Schizosaccharomyces pombe: one gene and its partners. The protein of the gene in region 3 interacts with the protein of the main gene of each other region in a pairwise test. Each region holds a gene or a part of one and is shown on either strand. Other genes may lie near its edges.

Region 1 (3,854 bases), on a different chromosome or scaffold from region 3:
ACGAAGTTACCTGTTTCCACCTAGTTTCGTAAATGAGCTAGCTGTAAAAGACAAGCGATAATGAGGCGGATACTTAATTGGTCTTATTCATCATCAACAGGTGTGCTAGCACTCAAATAAAACTTTTCTAAAAGGGCACATGTCTTAGTCCATAAATACTTTTACTTTCCCTTTTTCTCTTTGTAAATAAGATAGCCCATTAAAACTCGCTAAATCCCATTATTTTGCATCCTAATGAATGGCTCGTTAAGTTTATCGTCACGTTCGTCTTATGATCCCACTCTAATATGTTGCAATTAATAAATAACAGAATACGTTACAGAGCGCTAATAGATGAAATGCTAGTGTAAACAGATGAAGAAAATCCACCTTTCCATCTCATCAAATAGTTTGCTTTGTTTCTAACAGCTGTGTTCTCTTCAGCAGCTAATGTAAATGTTTTAATTCTCTTGTACCGATATTTTTAAAGCGTATATACCCACTCTCATCGAAAAACATTCACATGTTGCTGTGCTACTGCTTAAGTCTCTTCGCTCACTACTCTAACATTGCTCTATCATATTGAAAAGCACGTCAATATTATTACGATTATGTGGCACAAAGAAAGTAGTTTCATTTGTTATTTCCTTTTTTAAATTCGAAACAATGCATCAAAAGTTCATAATTCATTAAAGTTGAATCAATTAGGCATACATGGCTCCGTCATAATATGGAACTGGAGTTTCAGATGAACCAGTGTTAACATCTTCTTCCGGTAAACCAGCGAAAAGAGAAGGATCGCCAAGGGCCATACGCTTTGAGGTATACATTTGGGCAACAATACCTGCTGCAACAGAAATGGATTGTTCCACCCATTCTGTTACCCATTCATTTGGTAATATGGCGTTAGAACCGAAAAGCTTAATGTATCGAGGGTCCACAGCCCATCGTTGCCATTCAAGCGGCAAAGGTTGAGAAGTGGTAGAAAACTCCAAGTTATGATTAGTATCGTTAAGGTGAATAAGAAAGCATAGTTGCTCATCATCCGAAACTTCTTTATTTTTGATAGTAAATGCTTGGATTACGAGAAGTAAGTGAGTTACTCGAACCATAGGAGATTCTGAAGCGTCTTCATCATCACCAGCTCCAACATTTTCTTGCTTGTTTTCTTTGTTCATCTTTTTAGCCTCCGTAATAGGTTCAGCTAAATTGGCTTTTGCAAGTTTTTTCGCTTCCAAATAACCATTACATAGACCAAAGTCTTCATAGACATCGTTCGTTCGGGGTCGAACCTTAGCTTCCTTATCCAATAACACCGTTAATTCACCTCCTTCTACTTGGAACATCACCTGGTAACATGTCAGTAAAATTATCCCATAAAACTTAATTATGATTATGCATTGACCTATCTGTCTTTTGAAAACCAAGTAATCGGTGACAGCATAAAAGAAAGCACAAATATTAGTGCTATGTCCAAAGCGTAAACGTAAATACGCAACTTACTTTTTCAAAGCTTTCATACACTATACGGTCCAGGTGTGCAAATCCTGCTAGATCATGAAATACCGTCACCTGCAAAACTTCATGATCATGAATAGGAGGTGCCACCACGTTCAGAACGTTGTGAATTGTATTGCTTAATGTGGGAAGGGCCTTACTCCTTATTCCATTGCTCAAATCTCCTAAAAGACATTTGTTAGCAAAAGGAACTCTTTCTTCCAAAAGAGAAATTCTACTTACCAAGCTTGTTCAAGTCCACCATATTACGCACGTTAATATCCCAGTTGGCATTCTCTTCAAACCCTTTTATGGAGCGAACTCGTTGTTCAGCTGATCGAACAGCAGCGGACGCAGTGGACCAAAACCCACCAAGCCAGTTGCTCTGTTTGGGTGTTTCTACATGTTCTTGGAACTCCTGGGACTTGTTGATTTCGTTAACCGTTTTTGGAGTAGCGGATTCTGTATTTTTATTTATAGTTGTCTGAGCCGCTTGAGACGGTTGATTTGATGCATCATGTTGCTGACGTTCATTCGAGGTAGCTGCGACAGATTCATTTTCCTCGTTGGCCTCTTCTATAGGATTTTTCTCATTCTTTTCTTCGTCATTCTCAAGCTGATCTAAAAATTCCAGCAGTTCTTTTTCGTCCTGCACTTCAGATGGGGCACCAATTTTGGAGTCGTCGTTGTTGAACTCTTTGGAAGTGGGATCTGCTTCCATGCCAAGTTGATCCAATGATGCCATTAATGTTTCGACATCATCAGTTTGCTCTTTGGTCTCTGCCATACTGTTTAGCAGGAATATCACACGGTCTTGTCTAGTTGATGAGTTTCGTAGGCTGAAAAAGCCACATTAAGGACTCCTATAATATAACGGTAAAAATCCTCGTTAAGAAAATTTTATGCAATTATTATTATATTATTACATTATGAAAGAATTTAATAATTTCGTTTTAAAAGTAAAGTCGTGAACTAAGGTATGTGAATTTTAAAAAAGTTTATCTAAAAAATAACATAAAAAGTTTACTGTACCATGTTTGTTCTTATGATTCTCTCACCAATATTGATCGAACGACATTCTGCGAGTCAATTATGCAACAGTGGTCTTGATCGTGCAACTGATGCGTGAATTTTATAGGCATAATGCTTACGAGAAACGAGAAAGCAACAGATATTTATTATCCGTGCGCTGTAACTTACCTACACATTGTTTAAAAAAAGCAATAGCTTAAACAATGGTCAGCAACTTCCTATCCGTTTTGGCCAAATAATACACGCCGTCCAACGAACATTATTTAATACATTTATTTATCATCAATTTCACTTCAACATCATCGACAAAACACTACAGAACCTTCATGCCTAAACTATTGGAATATATACAGGATCAAGCGAATATTGCACAAAATTCTATCTACTCAAATCAAAACGACTAGCAGTCATTGATAGATTCTTTAAAAACAACGTGACAAAGAGCAAATGGCTTTTTTTGGCACACACTGACAAAAAAATGCGTAAATCATTAATGGTATTATCTAACAGCATTAAACGTCCTTGTCATTAAAAGACAGGCCTGGTAATATTTCAATCTCTTCTTTCAAGCTAAAAAGAATCAAGAGATCGCGGTTACACAGTACGTAAATAAGTACAATATCGAAACTTTTGGGAAGCCATGTCATATGCAAAGTTGAAAATAACCATATTCCAATTTCACCCCTTGAAAATTTTAATTTAAACAACGGTTTCATTAAAAGAATGCATAACTAGTTTCCATCTTTTTGAACATCTCAGTCCTAAGAATAGTTGTTGAGCATCATATAATTCGTATGGTTCTATCATAAAGAAAATTTAAGGTAACAATAAATTGAAAGTATTGGAATAAATCCCAACTATTAGAACATATTCGTCACTGAGTAAGCGTCAATTGATTAACAGAGTGGATAGTTTTAAAAAGATTGAAGATAAATTTTAAGGTAAATAACTCATAAATAGTAAACATTCAAAACAGGAAGAATACAACAAAGTAGTAGTGTCGAAAAATCAGCATTACTGAATCGCATTTAAAAGCAACTGATTTGGATAAAAAAGAAAAGTAATCGAAGTTAGACGTCTGTGTTACACTTTTTGTCGATGTCGACGATTATACAAAGTTGCCTTTGACAAGTTGAGTTGGAAACCTTTGAACTTATTCCGCGACCTTTGAGATGATTGTTGTTGCGATTGAGCAGGTTGGCGGGAAGCAAGGCTAGGATCGTTTTCACCTGACAGGTTGACTCGTTTCATCGAATGTTCAACGCTCTTGGTACCATCATCGTAATCATCATTCTCCTCCATCAAATCATCCATGTCACCCATAAAATTCATGATTCCTTGGTTAC
Region 2 (5,208 bases), on a different chromosome or scaffold from region 3:
GCTTCCATACCTACGACTATGCCCGTCACTTTTTGTCTGCATGCTCTCGTATCCTTAATCTTAGCACACTACCTAACGGTGTGGAATACAATGGTCAAATGGTCAGCGTCGGCACCTTCCCCATCGGTATTGATCCCGAAAAGTTCTCTGATGCTCTGAAGTCTGACGTGGTAAAGGATCGCATTGCAAGCATCGAACGTAGACTACAAGGCGTTAAGGTGATTGTGGGTGTCGATCGTTTGGACTACATTAAGGGTGTTCCCCAAAAATTCCATGCCTTTGAAGTGTTCTTAGAACAATACCCTGAATGGGTTGGAAAGGTCGTGTTGGTTCAAGTTGCCGTTCCTTCTCGTCAAGATGTCGAAGAGTATCAGAATCTTAGAGCCGTTGTCAATGAGCTTGTTGGCCGTATTAACGGTCGTTTTGGTACTGTTGAATATACACCTATTCATTTCTTACATAAAAGTGTTCGCTTTGAAGAGCTGGTTGCTCTGTATAACGTTTCAGACGTTTGTTTAATTACCTCAACTCGTGATGGTATGAATCTTGTTTCATACGAGTACATTTGCACTCAACAAGAGAGACATGGTGCCCTAATTCTTAGTGAATTTGCCGGTGCTGCCCAGTCACTCAATGGTAGTATTGTAATTAATCCATGGAACACGGAGGAATTAGCAAACTCCATTCATGATGCCCTCACTATGCCGGAGAAACAACGTGAGGCTAATGAGAATAAATTATTCCGATATGTTAATAAGTATACCAGTCAATTCTGGGGTCAAAGCTTTGTCGGTGAGTTGCAACGCATTCAACACTACAGCCACCCTCACCCCAGAAGAACGAATCCGATTTTACGAACCAAGTCTGCTCAAGTGCTGTCGATGAATTCTAGCTCGTAAGAGTGCATTAGCAACACTATTGGTTTGTTTTCCCATTAATCAAGTTGTTGCACTTTTACACTTTTACTTCTATAATTTCATTCTCAAAGCAATTAAATCATTTGGTCATATATATTCGATGAGTTAGCAGTTTACGATACAAAGGATGTTGTTTATACTGGCACTTTTTTTATTGAGATGAATTCACAATACATGATATAATGCAACGTTCTTTAATGATTTTTTTATATGCAGAAATTCCAATCAGCTTATGGTGGTTTGAGTATTTGCTGATGATGGAAATTTGTTAGACAAGTATTCGACAATTTTTTTATGAAGTGTTGTTCTTTGTAATTTCCTTTGGTTTTATATTGAACATGATGGCAAAAAGAATAAATGTTTTGTTATTTAACCTTAAAAATCCTGTAACATTCAATTAATATTATTTTTATACATTTTTTTTGGGATACACGTGGAAGATTGTGACTAATATATCTTATAAGTAAGGATGAGAATATGCTGGACTGGTGAACGGAGTTGGACCAAGCAAATATTAAGATTAATAGTGAAATGGTTTTAAAGGTATTATTTATTGTAAGTAAACTAATTTTCAATTCTCATATAGCAAAAAGAGTTTTTTTGTGTAAATGATGAAGATGCGTCATTTACCCATCATTATTCTTCGCTACACCAAAACCAACCGTAAAGATTTAAAACTCAACAAGCACAGTGCGTATATCATAGAACTTCTATTCACGCATATAATTAGTGCTGTTGCTAGTTTTGTATTTATTTTTGTAGACTTTATCAAGTTTTCCGACAAAATCGTGGTTTTAGTGAGAAATTTTATCTTTAACTTTGTATCACTATATCTACGATTTGTATTTGCATGCCGCATTCTGCTTGTACGAAAACAATATTTAATAAGGTAATAGGATATAAAAGGAGAAGTGTAGTTTGTGCACTTCAGCCAATATAGAAAGAGAATAACGTTTCCAATCGAGCCGATTTAACCTCTTTCCATTGAAAGGTAATTGTTTTTAATCAGTTGTAGACGTTAAAGAATGCACAAAAATGAGCCTTGAAGACTGCTATAACGTCACACAGTCATATGCCGCCGTTGCAATTCATAAAGAGCAGACTGCTGACTATGTGGAGGCTATCGCTTTATTTCAAAAGGCCAAGCGGAACATTCTCATGAATCCAGAGTTTAAGTATGCGAGGGAACGCTTACACGTGATGGATTATGAAGATAGACATTATGTGGAAACATTACTCTGCATGTTGGAGCAGTTGACCATTCGAATTGAGTTCCTTACCAAAGAGATTGCGCAACAAGAAGCTGCTTATAAGGATATTCAAAATACACAAAAGTCACTTGTAACACAATCTTCTACTGGTAGCGCTAATGTTGCTTATATAAGTGGAAATGGTCCTGGCGATCGCTCATTTATCGATGATGGTAACTATAGTGCGTCTTCTTTTGAGCGTCAAAATAGAACAGCTCCTTTACAATCTAAAGTGACAACGGCATCCTTAAAACCTAATATTCCGCGAACATCTATGTCCTCTTCACCTACAGCTTCGCGGACTTCGTTGCGTAAAGGCGCTGGTGAACTAGAAACACATAGCGCTGTTAAATCTGCTAAAAAGGCCAGTGTCAAGAGTAAATCAGTGCTTCCTCCAAGTAAATCGCTTGCTAGGACTGGACTTCCAGCTGAAGTCTCTACCCAGAACAATGCCAATCGAGCAGCTCTATTGGCTTGGGGATCTTTGAATTCATCTAAGCCTAAGCATGCTCTCCCGCCATCATACATATCATCGGAAGCAGCGCAGGCATCTCGATCATCGTTTCAGGTTGAGCGTCATCGTCCAACTCCCGATAACTCCGCCGTTATTGAAGCTGCCCGCCGAACTTACTCTTCTATTTCCTCCTCTTCCTCACCCTTCAAAAAGAAAACGCAATCCCATCTCCCTAATCGTACCACTGAAGTACCTTCTATATCAAAACAGTTATCAAAGTCATCTACCTCAATCGCAACCGTCGCGCCATCTCTCGCTTCTGTTTCGTCAGTTACAAAATCGCCATCTCCCACTCCTCAGTCAGCTCCACGAGCTCAATCTGCTTCCACTGAAACTGCGCAAGATCTGGATTTCCTTACACCGCCACGTTTATCTGTGAACAACCCTTTTCTGAGTGATCTCTATCCAGCTTCCGAACAGGGGCTTTCTTCCTGTGAAGAGAAAGATTCGCCGGTTGATGGCGATGAATTTTTCAACCACACAAACGAAGAAGAGATTATTGAAAAGCAGTTTCAATCCACATCTATCTCTGCAATGACTTCTGAAAAGCAAGAACAAATTCTGCGTGAATGTCCAGACATCGACGAAGAGCTTGGTAAGAGTATACTTCGAGAAATCGTGGTTTCGGGTGATGAAGTTCATTGGGATGATATTTCTGGGTTAGAATTTGCTAAGCACTCTTTAAAAGAGGCAGTGGTGTATCCGTTCTTGCGTCCAGATTTGTTCCAAGGCTTGCGGGAACCAGCTAGGGGGATGCTTCTTTTTGGGCCTCCAGGAACTGGTAAGACAATGCTTGCGCGAGCTGTTGCTACTGAATCCCGTTCTGTCTTTTTTTCTATTTCAGCTTCTAGTTTAACATCCAAGTTTTTGGGTGAATCCGAAAAACTTGTTCGTGCTCTCTTCACTTTAGCAAAAAAGCTGTCTCCAAGCATCATTTTTGTTGACGAAATTGATTCACTGCTTTCTGCTAGAAGCAGTGATGGAAATGAGCATGAAACATCGAGAAGAATAAAAACAGAATTCTTAATTCAGTGGTCTTCGCTTGCAAGAGCAGCTGCATCTCGACAAACCGCCGATCACCCAAGAGTTCTAGTGCTTGCCGCTACCAATTTGCCTTGGTGTATCGACGATGCTGCTCGTAGACGATTTGTCCGTCGTACCTACATTCCCCTCCCTGATGAGACCACTCGTCGCTTACATTTAAATAACCTTTTAAAATATCAGAAGCATTCTCTTTCCTTAGAGGATATTGAGGCTATTGTGAAAGCAACCGAATATTACTCTGGCTCTGATTTGACAGCATTGGCAAAAGACGCAGCTATGGGGCCTTTGCGAAGTTTAGGTGAGTCTTTGCTATTCACGAAAATGGAGTCGATTAGGCCGATTAATTTAGATGACTTTAAAACTAGTATCAAGGTAATCCGGCCTAGTGTGAACTTGCAAGGGCTGGAACGATATTCAGAATGGGACAAAGAGTTCGGATCCCAAGGGCATTGAGTCTGTCTTCTTATTTAAAATTCCTAGCCTGATACCGATTTTTTTGGTAATCACGTTGAAAATTTATTTATTGTCTTTTAATACATGGCTTGTGCAAACTTATGATTATAACTAATAAGGACAACTTTTGCCTCAAGGAATTATTCATGATGATAATAATGGTGCTGTACCAAAAGCCTTTTTGTTTACTCCTAATATATTCGTTTGTCTCTTTTTTGTTGATACAATTTATGCACAGTCTTTGAATTTTTCAAACACTTAATATTAACTGAGGTTATCTCTAACCCTAGTTATTGTTTGAGTTTCCATTTTTATTACGACTCATTTACAAACAACTAAAACTCCTTACTATGATTAATTAGTCAGTACATGTCAATATTTATAATTTAAATGTTTACAGTTTTTTTATTCTATTGTTCTTTTAGCGAATCTAAGAGTTTACAGTATATCACTTACGAAATTATATTGCAGTTACACTATAGAAGTCAAGTTGTTGGGATGCTTTAATTATGTGAAGATGCACACTCAGCTTATGCTCTTGCGATGCCTAAACCTATAGAATGGGTATGATAACTATTGATTGATTTAGCTGATCAAATAGAATGAATTTGATTCAGGAATGGGTAGTAAGTTGGATGTGTCAAGTTCCTTGAATTCATCGTCTTCCAATATGGATCGTGACAGATCGGAGTCTCCGAAGCGACATGTCAACGGAAGCAATTCATTGAAACGTGGCTTGCATTTTGATGGAGAGCACACTGAAAGAGACCCTCACTTGGGAAATGGCCAAAAGTACACTCAACAAGAGCGTCGCGTGTATGTTGGTAATTTGTCATATCAAGTTCGTTGGTTTGAGTTGAAAGAGTTTATGGGACAAGTTGGCAATGTTCTTAATTGTGAGATTTTGAATCTTCCGAATGGATTATCGAAGGTAAGTTTGCTTCATAGAGGGTGGGTTTCATGCGACTAGTAAATCATTGTCTATTTAAATTGTAACGTTGAATCGATCCAATTGAACGTTACTTTTAAA
Region 3 (4,535 bases):
ATCGATTTCACATTCTAAAAACACAGACAAGCATGTTGGTAATGAGCTTCCGCAAGATATTCCGAGCTGGCTCAGAAGTTTGCGCCTACACAAGTATACCAATAATTTAAAGGATACGGATTGGGATGCTTTGGTTTCGTTAAGTGATCTCGATTTGCAAAATCGAGGCATCATGGCACTGGGTGCTCGTCGTAAACTGTTGAAAAGTTTTCAGGAAGTTGCACCGCTAGTATCTTCAAAAAAAATGAATGAAAATTTAAAAGCGGCGAAAAACCAAAGTTCGGAGTCTTTAACGAGCTTCAAAGGTCATACTGACTCGGAGGATCTTCCAAGTGGGAGCATGTCTAACGAAATAAGCTCGAATTCAACTAAACAGGATGTTTCTAGTTCATCAATGGACTGAGAGTTTTTTATCATTAACTAATGACACTGAACTAGATATTTTTGTTTCACATCTAGTGACACTTATCTTTACGCTATATTTGACAATACTTTTTTCATTGCTTGAGGATTTCTGTTGTTTATTTTAAGCCAAAAGGTGGACTAATCAAATATTAAAAGCTTAAACCAATTTTACAAACTGTCTTTGACATCGCTTTTGTAATATAAACATATAAGTGAATTTTAGTGATTTGAAATTATATTATTATGAGCACTTAACGGGCACACCATATAAAAAGCTGATTTGTTTTCTAGCCTTCGGTAAAAATCATTGATTTGCTTAACAATCTTAAATCCATGAGCAGTATACCATTTAATAACTGATTCGTTTGTTGTTTGTACATGAAGAGAAATTCTGTCTATATTATTGTTTATGGCAGTTTTTTTGACGTGATCAATTAATAAGCTTCCAATTCCCAGACATCTGTAAGGGGCAAGAACACATAAGACTGTTACGTAAAGTGAATTATCTTCTGCAACAAGGCTGCTAATGGCTCCAACGAATTTGTCTTCGAATGTTGCAATGCGGGCGTAATCTGGATTTTTGAGAACTAGGCGGTAGAATTTGTCACTATAAGAAGCCTCTAAAACGACACGAACGAGGCGTTTGAAATGGACTATATTGGATTCAGTAATCTCTCTTATAAAATACTTTGAAATAATTGTATTTGAATTATCACCTAAACTAGGCATTTTTTGTTGAGCCGATGTATTTGGTTTTGCCAACGTATCTGCAAACCCTTGAAATGAAGCTTCACGATCTTTACGTTCCGAAACTTCTGTAGTTGCGGAATTATTACTTTCGAAACCACCAACCTTTTGCTTGACCGCCTCGTCATTCTTTGATTTTCTATTTTTCAAAAGCCGATCAAAATTTTTGTCAACAGAAAACAAACCTTTAGTATCTGCACCACACTGGATGCATGTCGGTGTTTTACGATATCTAGTTATGGCACACTGTTCACAAAAATGGTGACCACAAGTGGTAGCAATAGGACTTCGGTAATCCTTTTTACAAATTAAACAGACGAAAGGTATATCCTCTTTTTTCTCATTTTTTACCATCCCTTCTTCCAATTTAGCTCCTTTTTTGTATTTTTCCTGGACTGAATCCCATTCTCTATCAAGTTGCCATCCAGCTTTGTAATCCTCTCGCATATGCAAAAATTTACAAGTATCTCCATAACCGCAATACCCAGTGAGCTTATAATCTTTACAAACATCGGGTTGGTAGTCAATAATTGTATTCATACGGACAGTAGAAGCATTGGAAGATAAAACTGGCCCTACTTGGCTTTTTTTCTCAAAATCTTTCCTTTTAGGCAAAAATCTAGAGTAATCGTTTTGTGACTGGAATAACTCAGTAGGAAGAGTAGACTGATTAGCTAACTTCGGAGAAGGTCGACCTAAAATGACCTCTCTCGTATCTTCGTTGATAGCCGAAACAGTTGTAGTATTAACGGACTCACCAGTAGCGCTTAGATTTGACTGATATTCAACATTTATATCTTTCAAAGCAGAGTTCTCGAATTGCTCGGATTCTCTTTGCAATCGATTTAAGCGAACGGTTTTTTTTCTTCCCGAAACAATTGGAATATTGTCCCGCATATCTTCATTTGATGATTCACTGCTGCCTCCAGAGTCATCATCTCGTTTGAATCCTTTTTTACGCTTCAGTCCTTGTCTGGGGCGATGTCTCCGACGGCTTTGAAAAATTGGAACAGCTAATTCGGTATTGATTTTTGAACCTGAAGCCTGATTGATATTTAAATTTTTTTGTTCCATTGGATGTATGGCAAAGATAATTTAATGACCAAGACACTTGAAAAATCAAATTCAAGATAGAAACGTCGTCAATTCTTCTTTAATTGAGACCCTATTTAAATTCCAAGATAGAACCACTATAATAGTTTAAACAATTAATAGTCACTAAAACAGTTCCCAAACAAGTGCTTCAAAAATTCTGATATCTAGTAGAATCAATATTAGCGCTTGCTGTTTGCTCAAAATTGTGAAACGTGTGTCCCCTTAAATAAATAAAATAAAACAACAAAAATAGAAGAAGTTTGTAGTGAAATGCAAATATATAAATTTTAGAAAGCTGCTAAGCTAAATACGTGGCCACCGAATCTGGGCTTTAGTAATATTCAGGTAGATATATTTTTTAATAATATATAGGTATTTATATTTACTTTTTAAGATTATATAGTATAACGAGGCACAAAACAAACGTTGAGTTCTATTAAGAATGTATAGTTCTCTTTTTGTGACAGTAATCAGTCTTAATAATTTAATTACTATAGTAATGACTAATATTTTCAATCTAAACATATATATACAGCCTTCAATGTAATACGTGTTTGCACAGCGTTCCCTTTAATTTATTGCTTAGCGGTACTTCATAAACACATCTAGAGATTTTTTCATATTTATTTTTATTTTATTTTATGGAGATTATGAGAAAAGGCTGAGATATGGGGGTGTTATTTTCAATTTAAACGTATAGAGCATTGCCATTTACTAGAAATTGTTAACATGAAGAGGCCGTTGCTACGACGATCTAATTTACATTCTTGTTTAATTCATTATCATTTATCATCCAACTCTAATTATTTTGCAATCTGCAATATTGATGAACAAGCTACTAAGTACTGTTTCAACGGCTTATGAATTATATCACATCAAACAATCATGGTCTCAGACCTATAATGCAAATAGCGTATGCTTACAGAATTGAAATCGAATAAAGTTTAGTAGGAAATTATACAAACTCATAGCGTGTCTCAACTTTTATTATAATTCATTATGGTACAAAACTATTTTGAGTTAAGCAAAAGTTCAATGGATAAAATTCCAAACGTTAGGTTTTTAAAAACGACAAGAGTAAGACATCACATTTAACAATTTGCATTTTGAAGATGAACCATTAATCACTCTTAATCAGCCCTTGGTTGTTTACGAACACTATCTGATTCACTGTTCCTGTCTTTATAAAGTTCGCCATCATCAACCTCACGCAACCATGGTGCCAATATGACAGGTGATTCAGAACCTTTTTTATCCATCTTCACAACAAAGTCTTCGTTCCTCTTATTCAAGTGGTATGTTTTTTGCTTCCGGAGAGTGTAAGGTGAAGGTGACCTAGATTCATTAGACCTTTTTCTAGATACCTTTGGTGAATATTGACGGTTGTATGATAAAGAGTCATAAGATCTTTTATTCCTAGCAGGAGAGCGAGAAATAGGGCGTGCAGCGGAGACGGAGATCTAGAGTATGAAACTGAACATGACATACTCAACCTTCTTCTGTAGGAGGGTGAGCGAGAAAAGGACCTGCCTCTGCTTGTAGAACCAGCGTATGAACGTCTATAACGTTGGCGCGAGCGATACTTACGTGAAGCAGGTGAAGAAGAACGAGAACGATAACCCTTATCTTCAGATTCAATTAATCTTCCCTCCGGCGTGTAAGAGCGTGAGCGACCCCTTGACAATGATGATGACCTGGAAAGATCAGAATAAGAGTTACGGTTTGATGACCGTTCTCTCCCACGAGGAGATAATTCTCTATCTTTTCTAATGTATTTTTTATGATTTATATTATTGATAGGGGTTACACTGCGGGAGCGAGAATAAGAACGGCTTTTCGAGTATGACCGAGTTGACCGAGAATATGATCTCCCACGTGAGTATGTGGAAGAATAAGAGGAACTATATGTTGATCCTGTCTCGGATCCAGAGCTATAACCTTCGCTATCTTGCTCCTTTGGCTCGCTTTTGGGCATGGTAAGGAGGTACTCTCTCATTTCTTCAGTTAATGCACCCAAACCAATAGAAGTAAAGTAATTGATAGAGAAACGAACGTTACGAGCTTCATCGACTGGAAACAAGCCATGTAAGTAAGGCACTAAATTAGGATCGTGTAATCTTTCTACCAAGCTCTTAAGACCTAAAGCTTCCACTATTTCCTGAAACATTATTTTTAAAAATATTCGAGAAGAAGCTGTGGTATCGTCTTCGGTAAGACGTACACAGTCATATACTTCCCAACCAATTGAGTCAGTACTCAAGAGGTTGGCAAAAAATAATGCGATATTC

Evidence for each region. The genes of interacting proteins can lie anywhere in the genome.
Region 1: the proteins of cwf24 (region 3) and SPOM_SPCC1322.09 interact in a two-hybrid assay, tested with the Schizosaccharomyces pombe proteins (one large-scale study listed by BioGRID).
Region 2: the proteins of cwf24 (region 3) and spg4 interact in a two-hybrid assay, tested with the Schizosaccharomyces pombe proteins (one large-scale study listed by BioGRID).

What each region holds. Positions count from the first base shown.
Region 1 is NC_003421.2:1,304,603-1,308,456, reverse strand, and holds SPOM_SPCC1322.09 (uncharacterized protein), read right to left. Parts: upstream 2,301-3,854; 5' UTR 2,264-2,300; coding exon 1,720-2,263; exon of another isoform or gene 1,662-1,719; coding exon 1,483-1,661; intron 1,329-1,482; coding exon 684-1,328; 3' UTR 560-683; downstream 1-559. Other genes in the region: MAPK-activated protein kinase Srk1, read right to left, coding at 3,592-3,854. UniProt on the Schizosaccharomyces pombe protein: Involved in telomere capping.
Region 2 is NC_003424.3:3,479,957-3,485,164, forward strand, and holds spg4 (AAA domain-containing protein), read left to right. Parts: upstream 1-1,600; 5' UTR 1,601-1,952; coding exon 1,953-4,178; 3' UTR 4,179-4,649; downstream 4,650-5,208. Other genes in the region: tps1 (alpha,alpha-trehalose-phosphate synthase (UDP-forming)), read left to right, coding at 1-899; hrb1 (RNA-binding and mRNA export factor), read left to right, coding at 4,722-4,742, 4,780-5,109.
Region 3 is NC_003423.3:3,039,493-3,044,027, reverse strand, and holds cwf24 (zf-C3HC4 domain-containing and GCN5-like protein cwf24), read right to left. Parts: upstream 2,568-4,535; 5' UTR 2,227-2,567; coding exon 625-2,226; 3' UTR 504-624; downstream 1-503. Other genes in the region: vts1 (RNA hairpin-binding protein), read left to right, coding at 1-403. UniProt on the Schizosaccharomyces pombe protein: Involved in mRNA splicing.